Cricetulus griseus: one gene and its partners. The protein of the gene in region 1 purifies or fractionates together with the protein of each later gene. This does not show direct contact. Links are inferred from orthologs where the notes say so. Each region holds a gene or a part of one and is shown in the gene's direction. Other genes may lie near its edges. The genes, in order: Iqgap1, Myl6b and Diaph1.

Region 1 (3,652 bases):
TTTACAATGTACACTGTTCCATGAAGTCCAGTGTGCTGCCTGGTCCCTTGTGCTGTTTACTAGGTTAGCTTGTTTGTGCTTCGGATGTGGTGGCTTTGTTGTTCAGCCCCTTTTGTGAAGATACCTGTTGGCCTTGCGGGTGGAGATGGAGGGATGCAGGTCAGTCACTGGATCTCTTTACAGCTCCTGTTGGACCATCAGGACGCCATTGCTCCAGAGCACAACGACCCCATCCACGAGCTGCTGGATGACCTTGGCGAGGTGCCCACCATCGAGTCCCTGATAGGTAATGTTCTTAATGAGCCTCTGAAAAGCTGAGAGGGGACCGCATCAGGGGATTTAGTATCATTGTCTCTCTGATCTTGCGCCATATCAGAGTCTAGATACACAGTGGGGAACAAAACTAATATAGGCCCCACCTTATGAGCACCTGAGTCCAGTGAAATAGCAGATACTTTTAAATACAGAGACAAAAGTAATACAGATAATCAGAAAGTAAGTCTTATAGTTAGATTGTTGACAATTTTTTGAGACAGGGTCTCACTTTGTAGTCCTGTCTAGCTTGGAACTCGATAAGACCAGGCTGGCTTCACACTCCCAAAGATCTACCTCTCTTGGCCTCCTGAAGGCTGGGATTAGAGGTGTGCACCACCGTGCCCAGTGAAACGAGTTTTTCACACTTTTATGAAGTTACTGTGTTATGGACCCTTCTCCTCAACCATTTGCCTCAGTTTCCTTTACTTCTCAGTAACAACTGCTCATCACACTGAAGGGCATTGGTTTATCAAGAGTCATACTGACCTGCATTGTATTTATTTGAATTATTTTCCCTCCAAAGTGTTTTTTTATTACATTGACTCTTTCTACACTTCAAAAACTGCAGGGGAAAGTTGTGGCAATTTAAATGACCCCAACAAGGAGGCACTGGCTAAGACAGAAGTATCTCTCACGTTGACCAACAAGTTTGATGTGCCTGGTGACGAGAATGCAGAGATGGATGCTCGGGCCATCTTACTGAAGTGAGTATTGAAAGGGAGAAGGAAGCGGCTTAGAATCCAGTTCACCTGGAACAACCATCCTGGCCTCTCTTGCCCGTCACAGTGCTCATCACCCTGCATCGTGCTTGGCACAGGACTTACTTTGCTAACATACAATTACAGTCTTGGAACTCCTCCCCTGTACCACCTGCTATAGTTCCCTTGCTCCTTGTGCCAGTAACTGTCCCTCTGGGTGCTGTAGCAAGGCGCTGTGGGGTGACGATGCTTCAGATACTGCTCAGATCCTATGACAAGGAGGTAGAACACACAGCCATGTTCAAACCCATTCCCATCTCATTGCAGCACAAAACGTTTAATTGTGGATGTCATCCGGTTCCAGCCAGGAGACACCTTGACTGAAATCCTGGAGACACCAGCCACCAGTGAACAGGTACACATGAAGGTTTCACACTGGATAAGCTTTTCTATGATAGGTGCATCCCTGGGTGGGGATAGGGGCACAGGGAAGGGATTGGACCCTTGGGTGAGCATGGATCTGGCTATGGAACAGTAGTAAACAGGGCTCATCTGACTGAGAAAGTTGGTGGCTCCTAAATCCAGAAGGTGTTCTTAGGATGAAACATGAGATAGAGAATACAGGATAGATGAGAATTTAATCTGGGACAGAACATGTTGTCTATGTAGTAATTTAATGACTGTCTTATAGTTGTAATTATATGAAGTACCTTGGTTGTGTCTATAAAAGTACAGGGTGTGGCTCCAAACTTTAAGGTCCATTTAGAAAAATTATGATACATGCATCTGAAACCATAAGACCATTAGAAATTAGCTATAGTATTGATTATAAAAATGCCAGGGAACTGGAGACATGGCTTAGTGGTTAAGAGCACTGATTATTCTTCCAGAGGACTCGGTTCAGTTCCCAGCACCCACATGGCAGTTCACAACTGTCTGTAACTCCAAGATCTGACACCCTCACACAGGAATATATGCAGGCAGAACACCAATGCACATAAAACAAAAGTCAAAAAAGATTCCAGAAGTTTCTGGCTATGGTGGGCATGCCTTTGATCCCAAAGATATCTGTGATTTCAAGGCCTGCCTGGTCAACATAGCTAGTTCCAGGCCAGCCAGTGAGACTCTATCTCAAAATAAACAGAAACACAACAACAACAACAAAAAACCCCACAGTTTTTGAGGTGGAGGCCAGTGAGGAACAGTGTATCAGGAAGTCACAACAAAAGAAACAGAACCCAAGCCACACTTAAAGACTGGGAGGATCTGGGTGTGATGGAAAACAAAAGAGCAAATTCTGGGGAAGAGAGCCCACAGGAATAATGGGACCAAGGAGGGAAGAACACAGTGAGATCTGGGGTGAAGATGGGCGGGGTAGTTATGAGAAAAGCAAAGCTGAGGGTGGAATTATCTAAAACTCTAGAGCTCAGACTGGGGTGAGGAGATGGTGATGACAGCCATGGATGATAGCCGTGGATGCCAAAGTCAGAAAAGACGATGAAGTTGTTACAGAATGATCAGTTGGGCTTGGCAGTACTCAATCTCTGCTCAGTTGAGGCAGGAAGATTACCAAGTTCAAGGCCAGCCTGGGCTATCTGGCAAGACCTTGTCTTGGTTGTTTTTTCTTAAAAAGTAAGGGAAAGGGTAAGGAAAGACAGCAGAGTCTAAGGAAGGTTCCTTGATATGACAGTATTTGCAGTGTGCTTGGGAGCAGAGGGCAGCAGGAGCCTGCTCCAGCTCAGGCAGTGTGTCAGGAGCATTAGCAAGATTTCACTGGGCACTGCTATTGGTGTTAATTTGTGTAGTTATGAGCCACATTTTGACTTCAACATCCTAAATTAAGCTGGGAAAAGGTAAAGGATTTCTTAGCTCATAGAATCTAGTTTTCTGGCTACACCTAGTATCAAGAAAGCACAGCATCTGGATTCACAGTTGTACTTTGCTAGGTGAAATGAGGTATCTCACTTTGATGCTGTTCCTTGTCTGGTAGAGAGAAGACATTTACAGCAGACTTGGAGAACTCTGTATTCAATTGCAGATATGCTGTGAGTCCAGGTTTAGGGCTCCTGTGGTGAACTTACCAAAAAGTATTTTTCTTTTCATCTGTAGGAAGCCGAACATCAGAGGGCCATGCAGAGACGGGCTATCCGGGACGCCAAAACCCCCGACAAGATGAAAAAGACAAAACCTGTGAAGGAGGATAACAACCTCAGCCTTCAGGAGAAGAAAGAGAAAATTCAGACTGGCCTAAAGAAGCTAACAGAGCTTGGGACCGTGGACCCAAAGAACAAATACCAGGAACTCATCAACGACATTGCCAAGGTACTGCATGTGGGAACAGTGGTGGCCCGGCCTTGTTTACAGCCGCATCAGGAGCTCATGAACAGACAGTAGCCACTCAGGCCACAGCATAGCTTCTCGTATGCAGAATAGTACAGTCTGACTCTGACATCAGGACTTCAGTAGAGCTTCCAGTGTCTTGAGTTTTTCATTGCCTTTAAAGAATCCTTCAGGGCTTTTTCATAATTGCTATGGAATATATAAAGTTGGTAAAGTTTGTGTGAATCACCCAAACCAGGGTTCTAATTTCACTGGGATAATGCTGTTTGCACCGAGGAACCTGGTTTTTTTTTTTTTTT
Region 2 (2,776 bases), on another chromosome or scaffold:
TTTTTTTTTGGTTTTTTCGAGACAGGGTTTCTCTGTGGCTTTGGAGACTGTCCTGGAACTAGCTCTTGTAGACCAGGCTGGTCTCGAACTCAGAGAGATCCGCCTGCCTCTGCCTCCTGAGTGCTGGGATTAAAGGTGTGAGCCACCAACGCCCAGCTCCGCTTGGCCTTTTCTTCCTTTTTTTTTTTTTTTAATATGGAACACTTCACAAATTCGTGTGTCATCCTTGTGCTGGGATCATGCTAATCTTGGCATTGTTCCCATTTTAGTAGATGTGCTGCTGAAGCACAACTGAGCTCCATTTCCAGCCTGTAACTTTCTTCGCGCCTCCCCACAACAAGGGTCTCAGTATGCTAGCCAAGAATGACCTTAAATTCCGATCCTCTACCTCCTGACTACTTCTGCCTACCACAGAGTGCTGGGATCACTCCAGTTTGTGTGGTGCTGGAGTGGAATCTGGTGCCTGTGGAAGACGGGCAAGCCCTTTATTGCTGAGCCTTGCTCTTTTACTCTCTGAGACACTCACTAAGTTTCTTGGGGGACAGCCTTGACTTCACTCTGGCATCTGCTGCCCTTGAACCTACAGCTCTATCCTAGCAGCTCTAACAACGTTGGCTGTCCTGGGACTCAATACATAGACCAGGCTGGCCTCAAACTCACAGACATCTGCCGGCCTCTGCCTCTGACTGCTGGGACTGAAGATGTGAGCCACCACTCATGGCTTAGCAGTTTTCTCTGTCTCGAATGTGTCATTACCACTTCACTACATCCCCAGCGCTTCCTTTTTTATTTTCCTGTTGAGATGAAGTCTTACTAAATTGTTCTGGCTGGCCTTAAATCTGCCTGGCTGTTATGCCTCACTGCAGTATCAGTTTTCCATGACAGAATATTGGTAAGGTGATGAAGGATGCTGGGATGGACCTCAGAACTTCAAAAGCTGTTGAACACAGGGCAGGAAAACATCCTGAATGCTGAAGGGATAAAAAATCACTATGGCAGGAATGGATGCAACTGGACCCTACATCTCAATGACCTCACTTTTTTTTTTTTTTTTTTTTTTTTTTTTTTTGAGACAGGGTTTCTCTGTGTAGTTATGGAGTCTTTCCTGGAACTCTTTAGACCAGGCTGGCCTTGAACTCACAGGGATCCGCCTGCCTCTGCCTCCGGAGTGCTGGGATTAAAGGCATGCGCCACCACTGCCTGGCCTCTCACCTCTTTTTAATCTCCAGAGCTCAAGTCCCGACGTGTGGACTTTGAGACGTTCCTGCCCATGCTCCAAGCAGTAGCCAAGAACCGGGACCAAGGCACATATGAGGACTACCTAGAGGGGCTTCGCGTGTTTGACAAAGAGGGCAATGGCAAAGTCATGGGAGCAGAGCTCAGACATGTTCTTACCACTCTCGGTGAGGCAGGGACCAGAACTGTGGGATGGAGAAGGGGGTGGGACCACAACGCCTGGAATGGGAGTGCAGTCCTGCAATCATGGGCAGGGACTTAGGGGGACTGAGTTGAGGAGGCAGAATTCTGAGGGGCTCGCTCATCCAGAGGCTACAGTGTCCAGCAAGGAGCAGAGAAGAGGGAATGAGGTTGGCAGCCTCATGTCCCCTTTTGCAAGCCAGACTTGTGCTGATTCCCTGCAAGTTTCAACTCTTGCTTTTGTTTCGTGGTCTGTCAAAGCTTTCACCAGTTGCAAGGCAAGGCTGATGTGGGCCACATGGAGAGAAAAGGGCAGGGTGGGAGGGGGGCTCGGGCTAGTGAGGCAGGAGCTCTAACTGTGTTTGGGGTTCAGGAGAGAAGATGACTGAGGAGGAGGTGGAGACTGTCCTAGCAGGCCACGAGGACAGCAATGGCTGCATCAACTATGAGGGTGAGGGGGCACGAGCAGACCTTTGTGTGGGTGGGTGCACCCTCGGTTACCTAAAGTTCCACGGATTGCCCTTCAGTCAGTCTCAAGTCCTCTCGCCTCCTCCCGTGCAGCCTTCCTGAAGCACATCCTAAGCCTGTGAGCTCCACAGGTAGTCCTCCAGCCCCTAGTGTCGCCCTGAGAGGAAAGGCTCCTCGACCAACCAGATAGACGACCAGGCAGTGCGATTTCCCGTCGGTCCGTCCGTCCGCAGCGCGAGCGCCGGGGCTGGACAACTTTCTCCTCCCCAAGCAGTCCAGCGGGGTCGGATGCTGGATCGCCCCACCTTCCGGGCGGCCGGAGGCGCGTTCCTGCCACTAGGCGGCCCTTAGAGCTTTGAAATAAAGACCTGGCTCCTGCTTTGGTCTCCGACTGTTTTCTGTGGAGGAAGGGGAGGGAGGGAGGTGGGTTAGTCCTGTCTTCGGCCAAAAAGCCCAGATTCGCTGCTCTTTGCGCAGCTCGGAAGAGTGGCATCCAGCGAGTCGCAGCCCCGCGGCGGTTTCTGAACCGAGGGCGGGGCCGCTCGCCGCGTTACTAATGTAGTGGCGTCATCGACATGGGCCCCGACTAGCATCCCTATTGGACGGAGCGGCAGACGGTGACGTCATACGCCCTGGGACGTGCTAAGGCTAGGGCTGGGTCGGGAGTCGGAGCCATTACTGCCGGAGAAAGTCCCGCAGAGCTGAGCGGCCAAGATGGTGGGTCCCGGGCATCGGGAGCTTAGGGGGCTGTGGGGAGAGGAGGGGAGCCCGTGGGTGGGTGCGGGCAAGCTCGGACGCGGGGGTGGGAGGCCTAGGGCTCCCTCTGCCTCAGCTGCAAAAACGGGAGTTGTGGTTCAGTTTGTAAGGCCGGGATAGACTTGAGGTGCTCACC
Region 3 (3,752 bases), on another chromosome or scaffold:
AAAGTTACTGAACCTGTCGTTAGGTGTGGCTCCTGCACCACCAGCAAGTCAAATTATCAGCCAAAAGCCTGGAGATTTAAATGAAAGACAAGATGTCTAGTCGTTTGTGCTAAGAGAATGTGTGTGTGTGTCTCTTTATTACAGGGAGGGAACAGCCTTATATACAGATGTACAGCACAGTGGAAGAACCCAAGGTGTAAGAGCTCATGTTTTCCCAGGTGTGGTTGATGCCAGTAGGGCAAGGCCAGGACTAGAAAACAGGATGTACCTGTGGTTATTGGCTGACAAGCAACTCACAGAGACCCCATGGGGGCTGGGGCCCAACACTCGGGAATATACACTTGAAATCCTTTTCTTTACTCTTAAGGGGTAGTCAGTCCCTCTCTAAAGATGCCATGTCAGGTAGATATAGCCAGGAGAATGAGAGAGATCATGTAAAGACCATAACCAGAGAACTCATGCAGGCACGTTTGGTTTATGCCTGTGGGGGAATCTTGGTTAAAAATATGGTGTGGCTGTCAGATTAATCTGTGTGTAAATTTTCTATCAATTATGTTACAAGTCACTTCAATGTCCAGAGTGCAAATTTCTTAAATGGTGATACCAGTAGAGTCTATCATGAAATTGTGAGGAATCAGTGAGGAAAGATGTTATGTTTAACATATAACCTGTCCTATAGTTTGTGCTGGGTATGTAGTAACTATTTAATTGCTGCTTAGGCTATTGGCAATAATTAGTCTGTCTACATAAACAACTAGAAAGCTAATCTAGGATTCAATGCTGAGTATTGTAACTCCATAGCTGGTCTAGATTGGCGCTGGCTTGAACTCAGTTCTTGGCACATAGTTTCTATATCAAGTAACTCATTTTTTACATTATTTTTTAATGCACTTACTGCTTGGTGTCATATACATACAAGTTGCATTATCCCACAAAACTTAGCCTTAAATTTTCAACCAAAATAACAGTGTTCCTACGATAAGAGTCTTGGTTCAGACAATGAAATTCGGCCTGGGGTGTGAGGTGGTCTAGCTCTGCGTGGGAGCCCAAAGGCTTCCTCTGTTCCAACCGCCAGGGGGCAGCACTCCCCGCTGCGGTGTGGAAGAGCAGCACCGCCCACTCTCCGTCCCCCCCTCCACGTGGGTCCGAATGGTTAGGCCCGCCGGGCAGGTAGCGCGCTTCCGCGGCGTCCCTCCACCCCCCTCCCCTGCCCCATTGGTAGGGGCTGCGGGTCCGGGCGGAAGTGGGGCAGGCGGGCGGGAGCGAGGCGTCACCGTTGTATATTCATGAGGCGCGCGCAGCCCAGCATGTTAATGAGGCGGGGCGCGGCGGCCGGCTAAGAAGGCTGCTGGGCGGCGGCGGTGGTTGCTGGCTCGGGCTAGCCGGGCGCGAGTGGCGTAGACCAGGGGTCCCTGGCCGGAGCTAACCAGAACATGGAGCCGTCCGGCGGGGGCCTGGGGCCCGGCCGCGGGACCCGGGACAAGAAGAAGGGTCGGAGCCCGGATGAGCTGCCCGCGACGGGCGGCGACGGCGGCAAACCCAAGAAATTTGTGAGTGTCCCTCCCACCCTGCTCCTCAGCCTGGCGGGGTGGCCGCCCTCTGAACTCGGGCGACCCTCGCTGCCCTCCGGGGGCGTCTGCCTGCCGCTGGGGAGCCGCCCCCGCGCCTCTCTTCCTGGTTTCGCTGAATCCTGGGCTTCGCGGTCCCACATTCTCCTCCTCCCGGACCTCGGGAAGCCCGGGAGTCCCACCTGGCCCTCGCCTCGGCCACCTTGGAGCTTCCCTCGCTCTGGAGTCCGCCGGCTCTGCGCTCCCGCCCCCGTGGCCCGCGGGCTCGCAGCCTCACTTCCTTTCTTCTGCCTCTAGTACCCCCACACATCTTTTTTTTTTTCTCTAAATTTCTTTTCTTTTTTTTTTTTTCTTTTTGATTCCCTGTAAGCTGTTTTGGGTCCATTTTCTCTTCTCACTCACACCCCGTTTGGGTTATTCCCTTTCTTCTAAAAGGTCATTTCCTTCCTTACTAGTGATCCCTTTCACCTGCTAACTTTCCTCCCGCCCTGTCCCCTTCCAGGGCTCTCAGCCCGGTGTCACCTGGTAATGCTTCCCCGCAGGAATGTTACCTGACTTGAGTCCTGTCTTCCCTCCTCCTTTGGACGTTTGTCCTTGTGATTACGGGTTCTGCCCAGGTCCTGTGGTCACTGGGGCATGGCAGTATATGACTTCCCAGTATTTCCCTATCCACAAACCTGTTTCTTACTGCCCTGTTGCTTATCACTTCAGAGGTTTAGAACTTTTTTTCACGATACTATGCCCTTCATGACCCGAGATGATGATTAATCTCCCTCTTGAACGAGTTAGACTTCAAGTCCAATAAGTTTGTGAGTAATTTGCTTTTTATACTTTTAAAAAATAACAACCATCTCCTTAACTCGCCTTTGGCCATCTTCTGTGTCTCTAGGTTCCTGACATCCCCTTTCCTATCTGTAGGAGAGTATGTATCTTTCCTTAGGTGCCGGTTATTGGGACTTTCGAGGTTCATGTAACGCGGTATTTTACTACCTGTTGCCTTTCCTAACTAAATCCTCTTCTGTCTCCAGGGAGCTACTTTGCTTCTTCCTGTAAAAACTTTGAAAGATACTGAGCAGTCAAAAAGGGAGTTTCTGCTCAGTTGTTGCCAGTTAATAACTAGATACTTAGTTTGCTCTTCCAGGTAGCACCAGTAATCTCTGAAGCTAAATGGCTTGAATTCTTCTTAACTCTTGCTTTCTTTCACGCACCCCCACCCCCAGCATTCTGATCCAAGTCCCCGAGTTTGGGAATTAAACTGATGAAGTGATGGAAGTGGGAAGAATATGTTTTGTGACCTGGAGGGTTGAATTAAAAGAGTGACTGACTCATCTCTTCCTATTTCTGGCAAGACCAGGTGCTCCTGTTCTGTCCTTTCTAGTGACATACAGGGTGTCAGTAACTGTTTGATCTGGCAAATACCTTTGTAGAAATAGGATCCTAGGTGACCACAGCAATATATCCTTAGGTTCTTTCTTTAAAGGTAGGAATTGACCCTCCAGTTTGAGAACTTTCCTTCCAAAATGTAAGTTTTAGGGCCTGTATTCTATTTCCGTGTCTTTTTGTTTTGATTTTGTTACCATGGATACTGTTTGACCTTCGTCCATACTGGCTATTTTTGCTGATTTGTAGTGACCTCTTATTACTGTTTCTTTTTAAAGTTTCATGTGTGCTTTTTTATTTTTTCTAATACCGTGTCTCATAAAATTGGTGAAATCTACTGGTGTGTGTGGTTAGGTGAGAAATCCCAGGAACCTCAACTTCTTTCCACCTGTTTTTTTGGCACAGTTTTGTGTTCGCTGAGTGGATTTGGCCCAGAGTTGTTGATAATTTGCTTTATAGAGGGTGGAGCTGAACCTACTTCTCTTTTACTGAGGTTCTGGTTTTAACCCTTACATTACTGAATTTTAAGAACTGGGTATTGCAAGTAGTGAGGATTGGAAGGTTTCCAGGGAAGCAGGCTTCTTCACATCCTAATTGCTAAATATAATCTACCTTAAGGCATCAGGATATTCTTACTGCTTTTTATGAGAACTATGAAAATGAGAGACAAGGAGCATTGCAATCCACTTCTCTTTGTCTCTGTATATATAAGTGTGTGTGAGTGGGTGGAGTGGGTGAGATTGCTGGGGTGCTTTTGTCACCCAGGGCTCAGTTTTCTTGAACTACTGGCTAAGACCAATCTCA

The links.
Region 2: the proteins of Iqgap1 (region 1) and Myl6b purify together in Homo sapiens (affinity purification with mass spectrometry; 3 studies listed by BioGRID and IntAct, with this or other methods). This does not show direct contact. The link is inferred for Cricetulus griseus from reciprocal best matches to the Homo sapiens genes IQGAP1 and MYL6B.
Region 3: the proteins of Iqgap1 (region 1) and Diaph1 purify together in Homo sapiens (affinity purification with western blotting; 3 studies listed by BioGRID and IntAct, with this or other methods). This does not show direct contact. The link is inferred for Cricetulus griseus from reciprocal best matches to the Homo sapiens genes IQGAP1 and DIAPH1.

Annotation. Positions count from the first base shown.
Region 1 is NC_048596.1:116,873,718-116,877,369, forward strand, and holds part of Iqgap1 (ras GTPase-activating-like protein IQGAP1), read left to right. Parts: intron 1-183; coding exon 184-286; intron 287-883; coding exon 884-1,019; intron 1,020-1,340; coding exon 1,341-1,428; intron 1,429-3,122; coding exon 3,123-3,335; intron 3,336-3,652. UniProt on the Homo sapiens protein: Plays a crucial role in regulating the dynamics and assembly of the actin cytoskeleton.
Region 2 is NW_023276806.1:129,401,170-129,403,945, forward strand, and holds the end of Myl6b (myosin light chain 6B), read left to right. Parts: intron 1-189; exon of another isoform or gene 190-289; intron 290-1,229; coding exon 1,230-1,403; intron 1,404-1,789; coding exon 1,790-1,867; intron 1,868-1,977; coding exon 1,978-2,006; 3' UTR 2,007-2,263; downstream 2,264-2,776. Other genes in the region: Myl6 (myosin light polypeptide 6), read left to right, coding at 2,599-2,601. UniProt on the Homo sapiens protein: Regulatory light chain of myosin. Does not bind calcium.
Region 3 is NC_048595.1:199,706,890-199,710,641, forward strand, and holds the start of Diaph1 (protein diaphanous homolog 1), read left to right. Parts: upstream 1-1,433; coding exon 1,434-1,550; intron 1,551-3,752. UniProt on the Homo sapiens protein: Actin nucleation and elongation factor required for the assembly of F-actin structures, such as actin cables and stress fibers. Binds to the barbed end of the actin filament and slows down actin polymerization and depolymerization.